4 linked regions of the Arabidopsis thaliana genome follow. The protein of the gene in region 1 interacts with the protein of each later gene in a pairwise test. Each region holds a gene or a part of one and is shown on either strand. Other genes may lie near its edges.

Region 1 (4,302 bases):
TCTGGTCTGTTGCAGATGGAAAAGACAGTGGAGATAAACGAGGGCATACGGTTTATGGAAGACCTCCAGATGCTTAGAGCTACAGGTACAGAAGGTGATCAATTACCGACTTCCATGGAAGTGATGAGTCCCAAGTTTAGTGAGGATATGTTGGGTTTGGGTAGTTTCAAGATGGAAAGCAACAGTAATCCATTAGAACATCTAGGTCTGTATATGAAAATGGATGAGGATGAGGATGAAGAAGAAGACCCGCCACACTTTAGCCAGAGAAAAGTAGAAGACAATCCCTTTGACAGAAGTGAAAAACAGGAACATAGTCCTCACAGAGTAGAAGGAGAGGATCAACTCGTTAGCGGAAATGAAGAGCCGGTGAGCCAAGAGGCACATGATAATGGGGACCAAGAAGATGGAAAACCCATAAACCCAAATGAAATAGAACGACAACTGGAGAATATGCCAGAGCAAGAAAGTGGAGTTGGTGACAAGGAAGAGCAAGAAACTGAAGTTGTCGATATGAGAAAGCAAGAAAATGAAGTTGTTGATATGGGAGTGGAAGAAGTACATCCCCTTGACCGAAGTGAAGGGCGTACACTCAGTCCTCACAGAAAAGAGAGAGAGGACCCACGTGCTAGCGGTAATGAAGAATCGGTAAGCGAAAAGGCACAAGATTATGAGAACCAAAGAGATGAAAAAATCAATCAAAGCGAGAGAGAAGAACAATTGGAGAATGTGCTAGAGCAAGAAAGTAGTAGAGATGATGATACAGGAGAGCAAGAAACTGAAGTTGTCGGAGTAGGAAAAGAACTTTCCCTTGACAAAAGTGAAGGACAAACACTTAGTCCTCACAGAGAAGAGGGAGAGAACCAACTCGATTGTGGAAACGAAGAACTGGTAAGCCAAAAGACACAAGATAATGGGAACCAAGAAGATGAAAAATCCATCAATAAAATTGAAGGAGAAGAACAATTGGCGAATGTGCCAGAGCAAGAAAGTAGAGTTACTGAAAAAGAAGAACAAGAAACTGGAGTTGTCGACTTGGGAGAGCAAAAAAGCGAAGTTGTCGAAAAGGGGGTAGAAGAAAATGAAGCTGTTGACAATGGTGAGGGAGTGCAAGGAACTGAAGTTTCGGACAAGGGAGGAAACGAAACTGTAGTTGATGGCAATGGAAAGGTAGAAACCGAAGTTGTGGACAAGGCAGGGCAAAAAACTGACCTTGTTGACCAGGGAGAGGAAGATATAGATGTAGAAATTGATTGATGAAGTCTTTTTTCCGGGTCTTGTTAAAAGCAACAAGATGAAAAGAAAAAGTTGGGGATGTTTACGCATTGATTCTTCTATGCACAAAATGTAAATTTGATGTGGCGTGAAATGGCTAAAGCAAGCAAAAGAAAGGCAAAGCCAGATACATCTAGAAGACAAGACGATGAGTCTGTATTGCCTATTTTTCAACGTGACTCTGTTGACAATGATTCTAAATCGACGAAAAAAGAAAAAGAAAAAAACAATTTTGCTACAAGAAAGATGGTTTGGTTTGGTATTAAAGCAGCAAATTGTGCGACTGTTGAAATGTGCAGACTTTTGTTTTTTTTAATCTTTTAGAAGAGTAAACTGTACAGGGAAAGAGAAAGAGTCTGTTTCCTCCATTTAAACGAGACACTCTTTGTACTCGAGATCACTTTTTAAATTACTTCTGAGCACTGATACTTTTTGATTGATCAACTAAACCCAAATTATCTTCGCTTCTGGATAAAGGGTATTTATGTCAATTAACTTTGTTCTTATAAGATGATGATGCGAAGACACTGAGAGAAGCTAAGACAAAGCGCAGAAAATGGTGGGAGCGACTGTAGTTAGTAAATGGACTCCCCTATGTGTGGCTTCGCCGCCGGAGAGAAACTCGGCAAGTCTCAATCCACACTGTTCTCCAGCCAGGGTTAATTTTAGAACAGCGTTGGCCGCATTTCGTCCTCAGTTCCGTCTTTTCTCTCGCAATTCCGCGTCTCGCCGCCGTCTTCGCGCTTCCAGCTCCGCCGAATCGGGAATCTTCCTTCCTCACCTTGTAGCTTCTATGGTTTGTGTGCTTCCCCTCCATTTATGCGAATTACTTTGTTTTCTTAGTACTTACATTGATTAAACTCCGAAATCAGGAATTTAGGATTCAAATTAGTTTGGATATATTCTAATTTGATGAATCTCAATGCAATTTAGTGACCTTTTGATTGTTCTTACGTTGTTTTCTGTATTGTTTCAGGAGGACGTTGAGGAGACTTACATTATGGTGAAACCTGATGGCATACAACGAGGCCTTGTAAGCGTTTTTGCTTTTCATTTTTTTTCTTCTTCTGATTTTGAGGTTAAATTATGTATCTTGGAACTCTATGGAGCTTTGAATGTTATTTCATTACACTATCTTGGCTTAAATTATGAATGTATGATTCATTTGATGTTCTTAGGTAGGAGAAATCATTTCTCGCTTTGAGAAAAAGGGGTTTAAACTTATTGGGCTCAAGATGTTTCAGTGCCCAAAAGAATTGGCTGAGGTTTGACACTCACTCATTACATCAGTAGTTTGATAACTTTAGATTGCTTCTTAATGTGATATAACTAATAAATCATTGACAAGTATCGAGAAATTGAAGCCTGATCATGACTTGCATATTTCACTTATTCGCTACATTTGCGTAAGATGACGCTGCCTCATTTTTTTTTCATATTCGATTGACATAATTAATATTCTTGTGTGTTTATCTCAATTGCCAGGAGCATTATAAGGATCTTAGTGCTAAATCATTCTTTCCTAACCTGATTGAGTACATCACTTCAGGTCCAGTTGTGTGTATGGTATGGGTATAACTATGCTCTAATTTGATTTTTACTTGTTTTCAAGTTGTAATTAGATGAGTTAATTGCATGTGATGTTTTAAACCTGGTAAAGGCTTGGGAAGGTGTTGGTGTTGTTGCTTCAGCCAGGAAGCTAATAGGGAAAACAGATCCGCTTCAAGCTGAACCTGGTACTATAAGAGGAGATCTTGCTGTGCAAACCGGAAGGTTGGACTTCTATCATCTTTAAAATTGTTGGAAGTAAGCACTTAAAATAATTCTCATGGTTTGATATTTTTAAATTATGCAATTTGCAGGAACATTGTGCATGGTAGTGACAGCCCTGAAAACGGCAAGCGTGAGATTGGTGAGATTTCTTGTTTTTTGTTCAAATCATTCACCCATCTTTCATTGTTGAGACATTGACTATGTCCAGTTTAGGGGCAAATCAACGTGGTTCAAACTGCTTCAAATTAACTTGATAACATAACTAGATTAGATCATACTTGATTACTGAAATTGTTAGGTTCAATATATCTGTTTTAAACCATTACTATCACTTCTTCATTTACTTAGTTTGACCAATCACTCTCATTCCTTAGTATGCTAAACTTTTAGTTTTCATTTGCTGACATTTTGGCTCTTGTGGTTGTGGCATAGGTCTGTGGTTCAAAGAGGGCGAGCTATGCAAGTGGGATTCGGCTCTAGCTACATGGCTAAGGGAGTGATCCTTGAGAAGACAGAGTCAATTATAATGGTGTCCTTACTTGTTTTCTTGTTACCGATGATGAGCTTTGGTGTTTTGTTCCTGATTTTGGGCGGCAATATAATATAACTGCCAATCTATGGCTTGATTCTTCTCATATCTGTGATCACTTGTCATGTAATCAAAACTAGTTACAGATTCATCTGCATTTGGTTCTACGTTACAGACACCTCCAAAATCATTCATCTTCACTCTACACCGAGCAATGAAAATTTTCTAATCTCAAGCTAAAAGAACATACAAAAGAGTGGCTTTACAAAACGCAGATGCTGCGTGATTAAGATTGCTCAGATCAGTGTACCGGAATATCATTCCGGTTTACTTCTAAGACCGGTTGGTATATGGAATCTCAATGTCCTCAGGAGGAAGTTCCCAGTGATCGTCTTGTTCGTCTTCTCTGGATGCATTTCTGTTGTGCTTGCGGATCTCTGAAGTTGATAGTGGTTTTGGTTTAGGGTTTGGTCTCCTGTAAAATCAAAATCTATTGACTCAACTTCTCCAAGTGTTTTTCGAAAGAAAGAAGAAAAAGTGAAAAAAAAATCTGACCTTTTCCGATACTTCTTCGCAGCTTCTTTGGTCTTCCGCGTCTTCTTCTCCAGAGAGCTCTCGAAGAAGCGTCGTCTTCGAGATTCCTGCAACACACCCGCTCTGAAACACGACCTCTTGAAATCGTTAACCAGCTGCTCCTCCGATTCGCCGTCTTTAGGCACCACCTC
Region 2 (4,318 bases), on another chromosome or scaffold:
TGTGAGTTTGTTTGTAGGCTGCTGACAAGGAAGAAGCGAGAACTGGGTTAGTACGATCTGAAAATGACTTGTTCTTGAATGGAGCTCAACCTTCCTTGATGACAGGAGCCAGTGAAGAATGTGTATTCCATCCAAGTGAACACTACCCAACATGGACTGTGGAGCCACCATCAGAAACTCTCAAGCAAATCATGCAAATTTGTACCGGTTGGCAATCTTTGTCCCGTCCTTCTGATCATGGAGTTCCTAAGTAATAGTTGCGATTCAAATGTTTTCTTGCATATCATATTTCCTTCTTTTTCTAGTTATTGAAGGAGTGAATAATGCTTTTGTTCTTCAGCACATTATGTTTACAGTATGCTGTGTGTGATTTTTTATGCCTTTTTCTTCTTTGTGATTTGTAATTGGCTTCTTGAATGTATATCACTGAATCGAATTCTTTATCAGATTTATATCAGCTTCGGTTATTAGAGACTACTCGTTTTATTCTTAAAGCGTATCGCAAGTTTGTTTTTTCTTAGATAATGAAGAACTCGTCATAAATTATGTAAAGAAAATCTCATTTTTTTTTTTTTGTTCTCATTTTCTGTTGCACACACAATGCAAACACACGTATCTACATTTTTTTCACTTCACATCATGTAAAAAATGGAATATTTAGCCAAAACTATGGATCAAGTCTCTCAGCCTGAAACACACCCAAGTGATTTCCAGGATGAAGAGGAAGAAGATGAAGAAAAAGAAGAGGATGCATGAATTGGTGTACCGTGGAAAAGATCAGAGATGTAATTCTCCAAATTATCTGGCTTGAATCTCACCAAGATCTCAATGTTTCTCTCCTGGCCGAGCATTGGTAAGTACTTCCTGTAAAACTCTCTGTATTCTGGTACAAGTTTCTTTGCTATTGAAACCTTTAGTTCGTCCCTAAGTTTCGCATTTGGTACAACTCGTGATGATTGTTTCATATATGCTTCCTCAAATGCCGTGTGAAATCTTCTGAAATATATTTTAGCTTCCTCTGGTGATAGGTCTGTGGGTTCTTCTGGTAAAGACATGAAAACATTGGACCATGCTGCTATCTCATAATTCCCAGCATAAGCGCAGAGTTTATCTTCGTGCTTATTGAGCCAATCATCTCCAAGGAGATTCCTTAGGGGAGTTGAACCAACCGTTTCAATGATGATCTGAAGGTTGTTTGCAAGGAAAAGGTAAGACAAAGAAACATCCTTGTAATGCTCTGCTTTGGTGTCTAGTTTGCATAGCAAAACCAGGATTAGCCAAGCAAAATGGACAGAGAGTGCGTGATTGTGTTGTTCATCTTCCGAAATTGGAGCTCTGACATAGGATTCCAGCAGGCGAGTGTTTCTCGGGAGTGGATGGTCTGCTAGGATTTCCGACAAGACTCCGCTGTACTTAGAAAGGGAAGAGATGAAGTTCATTGTTGATCGTGTCAGTTTATGAATCCCTCCTCCAGGTGTTAGAGCTTTCGTCGTATCTTTCTGAATGATTGATTCAAAATCCGTGAGAGCACTGTGGATTGAGACCTTTAGTTTTTGCAGCGATGTGAGCGCCTGAGATTTCACACCAGCTACTGCATCAAAGTGGAATATCATCTCTATGTCTTGCCAGAGATCAGAGATTGCAGCCTGCAGATCCATTAGCGGGAAGATCCTCTCGTGCGATTTCTTCTCCTTGGCAACAAATTCAGGGAACTTGAAAAGGTTAGTGGCTGCTTCGTTTGCAATCTCGTAGAAGCATGACTCCCTTGTTGAATTGGAAGCAGAAAAGACATGATCACAAAGAAGTTTCTCTCCACGGAAGAGCGTGGCAATGCCAATCTTTGCAGCTTTTATCCAGTTCTTGATCATATGCTCGAGCGTGACCCAGTCCGTTCTGTGAAATCTGGAGCCTTTGTAGATTTCAATCCCGAGCAAGCTCAGCCCTTCATCTACAATAGATTTTCTGACCCGCTTATAAATCTTTACGCACTCCTTACCATATCCGCAACTTATCATACTCTCTGCTATCGCCTTAAGGTCAGACATCACCATAGCTGAAGCTTTCTCAACCTGAGTGATCGATTCGCCAGCTTTCCTCATCTCATTGTCACTTTCATCGTCGTCGTCAGATCCCATAACATCTTCAAATTCAGAATTGCTGGAGATTGAGGATTGACCGGAAACTGATTCAGGATCAAGCTTGTCTCTGTTTGAAGATAATATCTGGAAGAACTCTTTTTCGAGCCTTGCCATGGCGATCTGCATCAGGGTCTGAGCTAGAGCAAGCTTTGGAGATTGAGAGTCTTGAGAGACAAGAAAGTGCATCGCTCTGCGCAAATCACGGACACATCTGATGAACTCTTTAGCCTCCTTCCTGCTATGGTTGAACAGAGAGACAATCTTGGTGAAGGAAGGCGTGTTCGGGTCCCATTTTCTGATGACGGAGTCCGCTGTCTCCACGGTTTCCTCCATCATAGCCTGAGTAAAGTTCTGGTTTAGAGGAGAAGCCGGGAAAGAAGTGAATGAAGAAGGCGAAGAAGGATGATATTTAGGAGATGACGAAGAGAAGAAAGAAAATTTCGCCATTTTCGCCATTGAAGAAGAAGAAGCTCTCTATTCTCTTCTTTCTGAATTGAAAGCGAAGCCTTTTAAAATGGTGTTACTTGGCTTTTACTCTTTCTATTTTAATTAGAAAGATGGTTTTTAACAATTATATAGAGAGCGAGATTGGTCTTGACTTTGAAAATGAAATCGATGACGATGTGCTTACCTGTGATTATAGACCCAGACCACAAAGAACCATTGACTTCGATGTATAATATAAGCCTTATATACTTAAAAGATAACTAGAGTACAAATTTTATATACATATGGGCGACAAAGTTTTTGCTATCCACGTCTAGAACTAGAATTATATGACTATTTCATTCTGTCAACTTATAATTTTATATAACAGTTAAATTCATCAATTTCATTTCATTTGACTTTTTATTGCATCATTCGCATTATTGATCACTAATTATACTTCTTGTTCGAATTTCGTATTGGAAGTTTTTTGACCAAAGAAAAAAAAGAAGACTAATAGAGTTTCACTAGAAAAGTCCGAAATTTATATATTTAGCGTTCTCTTATATAAACGCGTTTCTACATTTCAATTCTTGTGTGTCTGTCAACGTCTGCATTTCAGTTAATAAGTTATAGTTATCACAGTAATTAACGTTTTGAATCAATACTATGATACAATAAGTTGTTAACGCTGTCCTTGCAAACTAACAGCTATACGTTTATTGTAATAGTTAAGAGAAAAGTGTTACAAAATATTTAAGTTGATTTTACAGCCTAATGTTATATTAGCACTGTTGATGTGTCATAATCTGATAGTATATGTTTGTGCTTATAGAGGATAGAAAAACAAATCACAAATTATGTATTATATAAAACTAATATTCTTTCGTCTGACCAAAAAGATGATCATAAAAGATACGTACTATACTTCATGATCTTGTCTAGAAGAAAATAAAACCTATATTCCAAGTTTTCCCATACATTAGATATCATATACACAGACACAAGACATTCGCATGTTATGTATGTATGGTTTTGCAAGAAAAAGTCAAATATACGCACTCATAAATCATGATATAAAGATATACGAACCGGAGGTATTGGCAATTTCCAGGCGTTACAGATTCTTAAAAGACCAAAATGGAGATTCGCTTACCAAAGTCAACTACATTTACATATACATTTCAACTAATTTGGCTTCAACGTCGTATATACGTGAGTTGTCTAAATCATTATAAGAGCATATAAGCTAGTCAACGTTTTGTTTCGACGACTCTCTTTCTTTAAACAATGGCTAGTGTTACTTCACGTATTCGGTTACATTGCTAACGAACCTTAAAGAATTTAGTTATTGTAGCTGTCTTTTTTCCTTAAAAGTGGAATCTTCTTCAATCAACAAAGCAATGACTATTGATCAATGCCATCATTTGATTACAACTCACAGTTTTTGTTTTGACAATTATCTTGTTATATACATATGAGAGAAAATGAACTATAGTAGTGTTTAGTTCGTTTCAGATTGAGATTGATTATGTTTATGTTATTTGTTTTTTTCCCAAACTTTACTAAGGAAGATTGTAAGCTTGGGGGAGCCCTAACGAATCAGAAATGAATGATATCGTAAGTGCGAAAACAATTTGAAGACTGGACTGTGAAGCGGTCAACTCTCAGGCGTAGATCATCGGAGTAAAGACAATGCCAATGCAAAAGTCAAAAGTTTATAAAGTATCTTTGATAACCCCAAAAATGATAAG
Region 3 (4,149 bases), on another chromosome or scaffold:
CGATATCAGCAAATGTTCGTGTTGGACCTGGTGTAAGGCTTATTAGCTGCATAATCTTAGACGATGTTGAAATCAAGGTAATTTGGAATCAGTGTTTTAGAATGTTCTTCTTGTTATGAATCCAAAAGATTCGTTGTTTAATGTTCTCTACTCTTGTTAAATGCAGGAGAATGCTGTTGTTATAAACTCAATTATCGGATGGAAATCTTCTATAGGTAGATGGTCAAGAGTTCAAGCTAGTGGAGATTACAATGACAGGCTTGGGATTACCATTCTTGGTAACTTCATTGTTTTCTTTTTGTTCAACAAATTTTTCGTTATATTTTTTCTGATTAATTTGTTTCTGCAGGTGAGGCTGTAACTGTGGAAGATGAAGTAGCAGTCATAGGAAGCATTGTTCTCCAGAATAAGACTCTTAATGTTAGTGTTCAAGATGATATCATCTTGTGATTTATCACAATGATTATCGTTTGGATTTTTTTTCTTTTTAATTGAAACAGAGAAACTTTTACAGAATTGTGTATTACATGAATTGAGTTCACAGGATTAGATTTTGAGTAAGTGAAACTATGGAAGATTTGTAAACTCTCACTGTACTTTGTGTTTAGATACTAAAAAGATTTTAGAAGAAAGAGTTTTAAAAGATCTAAGATAACAAGGAATCAAAGAAGTTTTGCTTCTTGATTGTGTAATCACTAGTGTTCAATACCTCCTTAGGCTCCTTTCTTTTGTGCAAATTGCTCACTAGAAAAATTGTTTATCTTGACTTCGTTTGTGGGGGTAGGCCCGGACATAATACCGGAACCCGAAGAACCGAACTGAACTTGACTCGAAATAACCAAACCCGTTCTACTTCGGTTCCGGCTAATTACTTGATCGGGTTCTGTTTTCAAATAACCGTGGGTACCGGAAATTACCCGAACTGAACCCGATACCCGTGGGTACTTTTTATTACCCGAACATATATATACATAGGGCTGCGCATATGGGTAACCCGTTCGGATTCGGGTAAAACCCGTTCGGGTTCGGGTTAAATGGGTAATGGATTTACTACCCAATAGGGTAAAATGAAAATTTTCGATTTCGGTCTAGTTCGGGTACATTCGGGTTCGGGTCGGCTTGGGTAAAGAATTTCAGGCCCTAAGAATAGCCAAACAAATGAAAACGGGTATTTTATGTGTAGATAGCGGGTACCCAACAAAAAAAAAACCTTAAATATTAACAAATTTTAATAATTTAATTAGATTTAGATATATTATACTAAATTTTGACAAACATAACAAATAATTTTTAAATAGTTGGGTATTTAGATCTAAAAGTAATTGATATATTTAGATTTATAATTATAATTTTAGATTATTACATTATATTAAGATTAAATATAATTAATATTTTTGATATTAAATCTATGTTCGGGTATCCTGTTTGGGTAACGGATAAACCCCGGACCGACCTGATACCCACGGGTTTACTAAAACTTTACCCAATGAAGTAATTTCTTAAAACCCTAACCCACCCCAACCCGATTTTTCGGTTCGGGTATCAGGTTCGATATCGGGTCCCGTTTTTTGCCCAGCCCTATATATACATATGAGGATATATATACACTAATAATGTGACTTGTTTAATGATTTGAGTTATGGAACAAGCTTAAAACAAGGTTTACTTCTTGTTTTATATTATTGGCTTAAGGAAAAACTTGTTATAATTTCAGATCTTTCGGGTTTTATGGATATTTTTATGTATGTTTGGGTATATTTGGACAAAGTTTGGGTAAGTAGTACTCAAACCCGAAATAGTTTTGGTTACTTATGGTTTTTTTAACTAATACCTGAATTATCGGACCCGAAGTGAAGCCGAACCGAACCCGACCCGAAATTGTTGATATAACCATACGGATCCAAAATTTCTAAACCCAAAAATTCGAACCCGAAAAATCCGACCCGACCCTGACCCGAATACCACATGCCCAGGGCTATGTTAGGGGAAAAAAAAAAAATACATGTGGGCTTAAATGGGGTTTGAAATTAAAACCGGTCTGAATAGACGGTTCATTAAGAAAACCGGCAATTAAAAACCGAACTTCATAGAGAGTCTTCTTTACGCATTCTCCGTCATTCGGTTAAGTTGCATCGATCGTTAGGGTTTTATCGAGAGAGCAAGGAGAGCGATTTCTCAAATCGACTTTAATGGCTGACGACGATTACAATGAAGTCGATGACTTGGGGTAATCTCTCCCTCTCTGTTTCCTATGTTAGTATCATTTGTACTCGATTTCAGTTGATTCTATCTTCTTCTTCCCGACGAATCGTAAACGATTGAGAACAATTGGATCAATTATTGTCTAGTTTGAGAGTCTATCAACGAGATTCTTTTTTGAAAATTTGCTTATTGTTCTGGCATCGTAGCATTGATTATAATTTCATATTGTTTAGATAGAAAACCCTAATTTCGTTTGAATCTTATACATCGGATTTCAAATTGTTGATGTTATGTGGTGATTTTCAATTGCAGATATGAAGATGAGCCAGCAGAGCCTGAGATCGAAGTAAGTTATTATTTGTAGAAGAGAGATTGACATTGCTTATTATTATTACTAGGCTGATTAGAATGTGTTGGTGTGAGTAGGAAGGAGTAGAGGAAGATGCTGATATCAAGGAGAACGATGATGTTAATGTTGACCCTTTGGAAACAGAAGATAAGGTTGAAACAGAACCTGTGCAACGCCCACGTAAAACCTCTAAGTTTATGACTAAGTATGAACGTGCACGTATCCTCGGCACTCGTGCTTTGCAGATTAGGTCAGCTACTGAGAACAATCTTTGTTGATTAACCGTTTAGTTGGCTCGGAAAGTTTGATTCTATGTACTGTTGTTGGCTGATACAGCATGAATGCTCCTGTTATGGTTGAGTTGGAGGGTGAGACTGATCCACTTGAGGTGTTGCCTTCTTCCTTCTTGTTGTGTTTTTCATGATTTGTCAGTAAATGTTGATATGTATATGAACATTTGTGTTGTTTATTGTATGATTTGGCTTAAGATTGCGATGAAAGAGCTTAGGCAAAGGAAGATTCCATTTACCATTAGACGTTATCTACCTGATATGAGGTGAGATTGCATTAGTTATATCAATACTTTTAGCTCTTCTTTCAAATTTGATATCTTCTTTTCTTGCGACTTACTTATGACTCTGAATCAGTTACGAGGAATGGGGAGTTGATGAACTGATCGTCGAAGACTCGTGGAAACGTCAAGTCGGTGGTGATTGATAAAATCTGGCCTATGTGTTTTGCAAAGCTTTCTGCTCTTGTATGGATTATGAACTTACGATATAGTCGCATGTAGAACTTCTTCATTTGTCCTATTCTCCAACACTACAAGAGTCAGGGACTCCAACAAAAATGCATGAACAACAAATTTTTTGTCCCAAGTTGTTTTTGGACATGGGTTTCGACAAGCCTGCATGTACATATACAAAGAAAGAAAATCCTTCGTGAAACCAAAAGAAGAAAACATCTATAATAGTTTGAGTATTGAGTAAGTACAACTCAATTGATAAACCTTTTCTCTCACACTTCCCAGCTTTTGTCGTCTCACAGAGTCAGATCGATTGATGCATAAATGAGTGATGCTAAAAATCAAAAAGCAAGATTAGAGAAGAATTATGCATGTTGTTTAAAGAAGTTGAGAAATAGTAATGTTAAAAACTATGTGAAGCGCTTGCTCGAGGATTGTTTCAGCAACACTATACAAGTGACTGGACTCAACTACTCACCATAGTCTCGGCCCAACGCAAGGATAGTGTAGCATGTTTCTTGATGAAATACATCTTTCAAACCACCGTTTACACCATCTGGCATGAGAGGAATCGAAGACGTCATGATGAATCTCCAAAATCTGCAGCCACTCTAATACAATGGATCGACAAGCAAATGCGTTTCCAACGCTGGCTTCAAAGTTGAAGTTAATCACTAAATTGTTCATTCTAATTTCTGATTTCAATCTATTTCATATAGAACATATGATACACTAATTGTAACGACGTTATCTTTTTTGAATCTAATTTACCATTTTCCAAAAAAAAAAAAAAAAAAAATGCAGGGATTAGAGAAGAATAATGCATTAAACTCAAAGCAAATAACTGTTAAAT
Region 4 (4,402 bases), on another chromosome or scaffold:
GACACATCTCTATTGTTTTGTTGTAGGTTGATGTTGTGGAATTAAAAAAAAAGGTTCAGTTCTATCTGCAAATCACAATTTTGAAGATGGTCCAGATGTGAAATTTTTGGTCTGTTTAAGGTTAAGATGGTCCAGTTTTTTTTTTGTTTTTTTCTCTGTTTCCGCAAATGTCAGAAGCTGGAATCTTGGGGGTCAGAGAAGAGATGGTTTGTGTAAACCAAAACGGCTCGTTTTTATAGCCAGTAAACATTTCTCTGAAACTTTTCTCAAACTATGTAACGAATACACTAAGCAAGAATACTACTGGAGTTTTGAAGCGACTACACTCACTGCTCGTCATTACTCTTCGAAATGTTTGATAAAATCTGGAAAAAAAAAAACAAAGTGGGAAACTTAGTGGAGGCCCTTTTGCTGGTCATGGATTGTTGCAAGTTCTTGAAATAAAAGCTTTTAAGACTGTACCTTGTCTGTGAATTCGCGGAATGCTTCTATTCCCATGGCTTCATCGAGTTCCTGATACATCCACAAATAGTTTCGTCAAAGGAGATCGATAACAACAACAAAAATATTGAATTACTGACGACGATGTAGATGAGCTTTACCTGTAAAGGGTTGGAAGAACTATCAATACTGTAGATGAGTTTCTGAAGAGGTTCATCCTTTAGAGCTTCGCGGATTTCACTAGAAGAAGCTGTAAAAAGTTCCCAGATTTAGAAATGGCCTACGAAGCTATAGATTCGTTCAGACGTTTGTTATCCAATAACTTGCTCGTCTATATATAATGTAGTTGGAAGAACATTACCGATAGCCTCGAACTGTGTCTTTTCTAAAATATACTTTTCTTCCTCTACAATTATCGGTCTTGCTACCGGAATTTCCTTCGCTGGAGATGCAGCTACAAAAAAACAGATTATGACTCAAACCCAAGTTCAAACAATTCTAGTCTAATGCCTAGCATCTCTGGCTACATCAGAGGTTTTGAAAATCAGCCCATGAATGTAAATAAGACTTAAGTTGGAAGAACCGTACCACTAGCCTTTTGCTGTGTCTTCTCTACAACATCATTAGCTTCCTCAGGTCTTTTCACCGGGACTTCCTTTGCTGGAGAAGCTGCTACAAAACCAGAGCATGACTCAAACCATGGTTCACACTGAACAACTTACACAAGTGAGCAAAGGAAAACTAATCAAGAAACAATGAAACCACAAAATGCACTAACCTGGCTTTTCTTCGGTTGAAGAAGGATCAGACGGTTTAGCACATGGAGTCTCTGCATTATTGATAAGATTACATACTTAGAACCACATCAACATAAACCTAAAGTAAAATCTTCATTGAAAACAAAACAGATACATAAAATACTCTTCCTCTATTGGTTATACAATCTGCAATGAAATTAGCAATTCAAAGGTCACGAGGTTTAAGCTAAGTAATAAAACTAGAGACACTCAACGAATTCAATTACAAAGTCCAAAACTTTAAGGTCTAACTCAGAAACTAACATCAATCAAGGAACTAATTCCAAATCCTAACTTTTTACGAATTTCATAAAGAGATCAAAAGAACTTACCTTTGTGTATCTTGAAACAACCCAATGAGCAGCTGCAGGCAAGCCACAGAAACCAAGTAAGAGACAATGACAAAGATGACTTAACAAGCCAATGATGAAACGAAAGAAAACCTATGTAAAAAGAGAGAGAGACGAAGAACACTTACTAAGGAACAAGACAAGAAGGACACTTGTATTTGGATACAACCTTCTCGCAGATTTCGCATGTTTGAGTAGCTCGAGGACACATCTCTCACTCTCTCACAACGAGCACAGCGATTCAGGGGAAGAGAAAAACCTCAATCAAGGAGGCAATGGGGTTTACACTTGCCTCTTCAGAAAGAAAGAAAGCCCAATGGGCCTGAAAGCTTTTTTATTTATGTCATTGATTTGTCACGGAGGCTTTTTGACTCTGCTTTTTGTGAATTCACTGTTGAGAAGCGCCGGAGAAGATGAAGCTGAAGCAATTAGAAGGCTTGTTGGGTGATCTTGAACAGTTCTCCAATCCTAAAGTATGTGAAAAATATTATAACTTTGAATACTAAAGATTGATTTCGTCGAACAAACTCTTTTGATTTTGATTTTTTGTGTGGCAGGTGGAATTCGAGCAATACCCAACTGGTCCTCACATTGCTTCTCGTATGCTTTTCACTGTAAAATCCGTCTTCCTCTGCTCTGAAGTTTATTACTTTTGTTAATATCATGCTTTCTGTGAAGTGGGTCTTCACTGTCTAATCTAGAATATATAACAGGCTAGTGATTTTCTCAGTGTGTGGATGTTAGATTTATGTAGTCTGAGTTGTTTTGTGATGCTTGGTTTTGTTCCTGCTGTCTTAGAAGAAGCCTTAAGTGTGTATCCTTTGTTTAGGCAGAGAATTCATATGGAGATATAACTGATAAGGTCGTTGCGGATTTTGGTTGTGGCTGTGGTACTTTAAGTGCTGCTGCTGCTCTTCTAGATGCTGCGTGAGTATAATCATCTTTGCCTCACTCTTCTATTCAATCTCTGTGGTTATCTAATCTCTTTATTGCTTCAGAACAGGTCTGTGATTGGATTCGATATCGACCCTGAATCTCTTGAAACAGCAACACTAAATGCAGAGGAACTTGAGGTTTTTTTGAAATTCTTCGTCTTTTATGTAAATGAGTTTTCTTTTGGTTGTATAGCAAATACCATTGCTATAATTGGTTTGTTTTGTAGGTCGAGATAGATTTCGTTCAGTGTGACATCACAAAGCTAGAGTTAAAAGGTACAATCCTCCTTTCATTTCAGTTCATTCAACGAAAAGAAGATTCTACCGGTAACATTTTTGTGGCTCCATGAATTGTTTTAGGCCTGATTGTGGATACGGTTGTAATGAACCCTCCATTTGGTACACGGAAGAAAGGAGCTGACATGGAGTTTCTCTCTGCGGCAATGAAGGTAAACAACAGAAAAGAATATCTCTTTTTACTGTTTTCTAATTTCGTATCACTCGGTTACATGTTTACATTCGATGTTTGGCTACGCAGGTCGCCTCAAAGGCAGTTTATTCCTTGCATAAGACATCTACCAGAGAAGTAAGCAAAGCGCCTTCCTTACAATATCTACTTACTATGTATTTTGTTAGTAACAACCTTAACATTCTTGCAGCACATTAAAAGGGCGGCTTTGCGTGATTTCAATGCGAAAAGTGCTGAAGTTATATGTGAGGTTGGGCTAAAAGATTTGAAAATTATTATATCAAAAGTCTGATGTGAATGTGTCTAAACATTCTAACTTATTCATATTGTTCCCCTTGCAGCTCCGATATGACTTGCCAAAACTCTACAAGTTCCACAAGCGAAAAGAAGTTGATATTGCCGTTGATCTCTGGCGTTTTGAGCCTAGACAGAACTAGACCGCCACGATCATGTAATGTTTAGCTTTGAGATAAGATTGATTATGTATGGAAGGATTCATGGTATGAACTCAAGTTTTACAAATCAACCTCTTCTTCATAGACAAATTTACAGCTTTTCATTGAAAATAGGTGGCAGCTTGGCTACACTGTGCTCTATCAAAACATATTGCAGATGCGTATAGACATTTCAAGTCTGAGACCAGCACCAACCGGTTTAAGTCTTTGTTTCACCTGAGACAGTTGAGCTTAATACAAAATTGTATCATACAATCCTAAGCAGTGAGACTTTAGTGATCTCTCAGATGATCCAACCATGTTGTACTTTCAAGACACTGAAAAGAGTTGTCACAAAATTTCTAAATAAGAAAATATGAACAAGTCCTAAAATTTGGTATTACATACATTGTGGAAAAAACCACAGAAAAATATGAAATAATAGAAGGAACAGCATGGATGCCAACTGAATAGATAAATAAAAAGAAATCAGCCAATGGATCAAATCTGTACTATCTAAAAGATTGTTACAAGTAATCATTCAGAAAAGAGAGAAGAAAAAGTTGGAAAGGTATTACTACACTATTATTTAATTTGTATGGTTGATGGTGAAGGAAGGAAGCTTCATCGAACAAATACTCCTTAATTTATATGCTTAGAGCTAATAAAGATTCAGCATCAAACGATTCTCAATGATTTAATTATATCTTCTCCCACGTGGGACGAACATTTCGTACCCTTATCGACTACATTACTCATTTTAATATTACGTTAAACAAAAACTAACCGAAACTCTTACTTTGGCAATTATATTGCTTATGAGTCAACTAATATTACTAGATGGATTTCTCGTATTAGCTAAATAGTAGATTTTGTTGGAAATGAATCACCAAATGTCAATAATTGTAATTTTGATAATATACTTTTATTTGGTTGAATTATACGACTTTTGTCCCCCCCCCCCTTTTCATGAACG

The links.
Region 2: the proteins of NDPK2 (region 1) and EXO70H1 interact in a two-hybrid assay, tested with the Arabidopsis thaliana proteins (one large-scale study listed by BioGRID).
Region 3: the proteins of NDPK2 (region 1) and NRPB6B interact in a two-hybrid assay, tested with the Arabidopsis thaliana proteins (one large-scale study listed by BioGRID).
Region 4: the proteins of NDPK2 (region 1) and AT4G28830 interact in a two-hybrid assay, tested with the Arabidopsis thaliana proteins (one large-scale study listed by BioGRID).

What each region holds. Positions count from the first base shown.
Region 1 is NC_003076.8:25,371,368-25,375,669, reverse strand, and holds NDPK2 (nucleoside diphosphate kinase 2), read left to right. Parts: upstream 1-1,765; 5' UTR 1,766-1,831; coding exon 1,832-2,071; intron 2,072-2,251; coding exon 2,252-2,308; intron 2,309-2,453; coding exon 2,454-2,540; intron 2,541-2,760; coding exon 2,761-2,841; intron 2,842-2,935; coding exon 2,936-3,048; intron 3,049-3,137; coding exon 3,138-3,187; intron 3,188-3,480; coding exon 3,481-3,548; 3' UTR 3,549-3,766; downstream 3,767-4,302. Other genes in the region: NPX1 (nuclear protein X1), read left to right, coding at 16-1,257; AT5G63300 (Ribosomal protein S21 family protein), read right to left, coding at 3,895-4,302. UniProt on the Arabidopsis thaliana protein: Major role in the synthesis of nucleoside triphosphates other than ATP. The ATP gamma phosphate is transferred to the NDP beta phosphate via a ping-pong mechanism, using a phosphorylated active-site intermediate. May activate MPK3 and MPK6.
Region 2 is NC_003074.8:20,439,972-20,444,289, forward strand, and holds EXO70H1 (exocyst subunit exo70 family protein H1), read right to left. Parts: upstream 2,680-4,318; 5' UTR 2,595-2,679; coding exon 684-2,594; 3' UTR 520-683; downstream 1-519. Other genes in the region: AT3G55140 (Pectin lyase-like superfamily protein), read left to right, coding at 18-254.
Region 3 is NC_003071.7:1,618,287-1,622,435, reverse strand, and holds NRPB6B (RNA polymerase Rpb6), read left to right. Parts: upstream 1-2,056; 5' UTR 2,057-2,189; coding exon 2,190-2,227; intron 2,228-2,514; coding exon 2,515-2,548; intron 2,549-2,628; coding exon 2,629-2,801; intron 2,802-2,887; coding exon 2,888-2,939; intron 2,940-3,039; coding exon 3,040-3,107; intron 3,108-3,198; coding exon 3,199-3,268; 3' UTR 3,269-3,645; downstream 3,646-4,149. Other genes in the region: AT2G04650 (ADP-glucose pyrophosphorylase family protein), read left to right, coding at 1-77, 167-278, 350-450. UniProt on the Arabidopsis thaliana protein: DNA-dependent RNA polymerase catalyzes the transcription of DNA into RNA using the four ribonucleoside triphosphates as substrates. Component of RNA polymerase II which synthesizes mRNA precursors and many functional non-coding RNAs.
Region 4 is NC_003075.7:14,230,489-14,234,890, forward strand, and holds AT4G28830 (S-adenosyl-L-methionine-dependent methyltransferases superfamily protein), read left to right. Parts: upstream 1-1,951; 5' UTR 1,952-2,001; coding exon 2,002-2,061; intron 2,062-2,145; coding exon 2,146-2,202; intron 2,203-2,417; coding exon 2,418-2,515; intron 2,516-2,591; coding exon 2,592-2,661; intron 2,662-2,750; coding exon 2,751-2,799; intron 2,800-2,883; coding exon 2,884-2,972; intron 2,973-3,061; coding exon 3,062-3,109; intron 3,110-3,182; coding exon 3,183-3,242; intron 3,243-3,333; coding exon 3,334-3,429; 3' UTR 3,430-3,846; downstream 3,847-4,402. Other genes in the region: AT4G28820 (HIT-type Zinc finger family protein), read right to left, coding at 331-365, 463-513, 603-691, 803-895, 1,030-1,113, 1,220-1,270, 1,571-1,602, 1,717-1,799.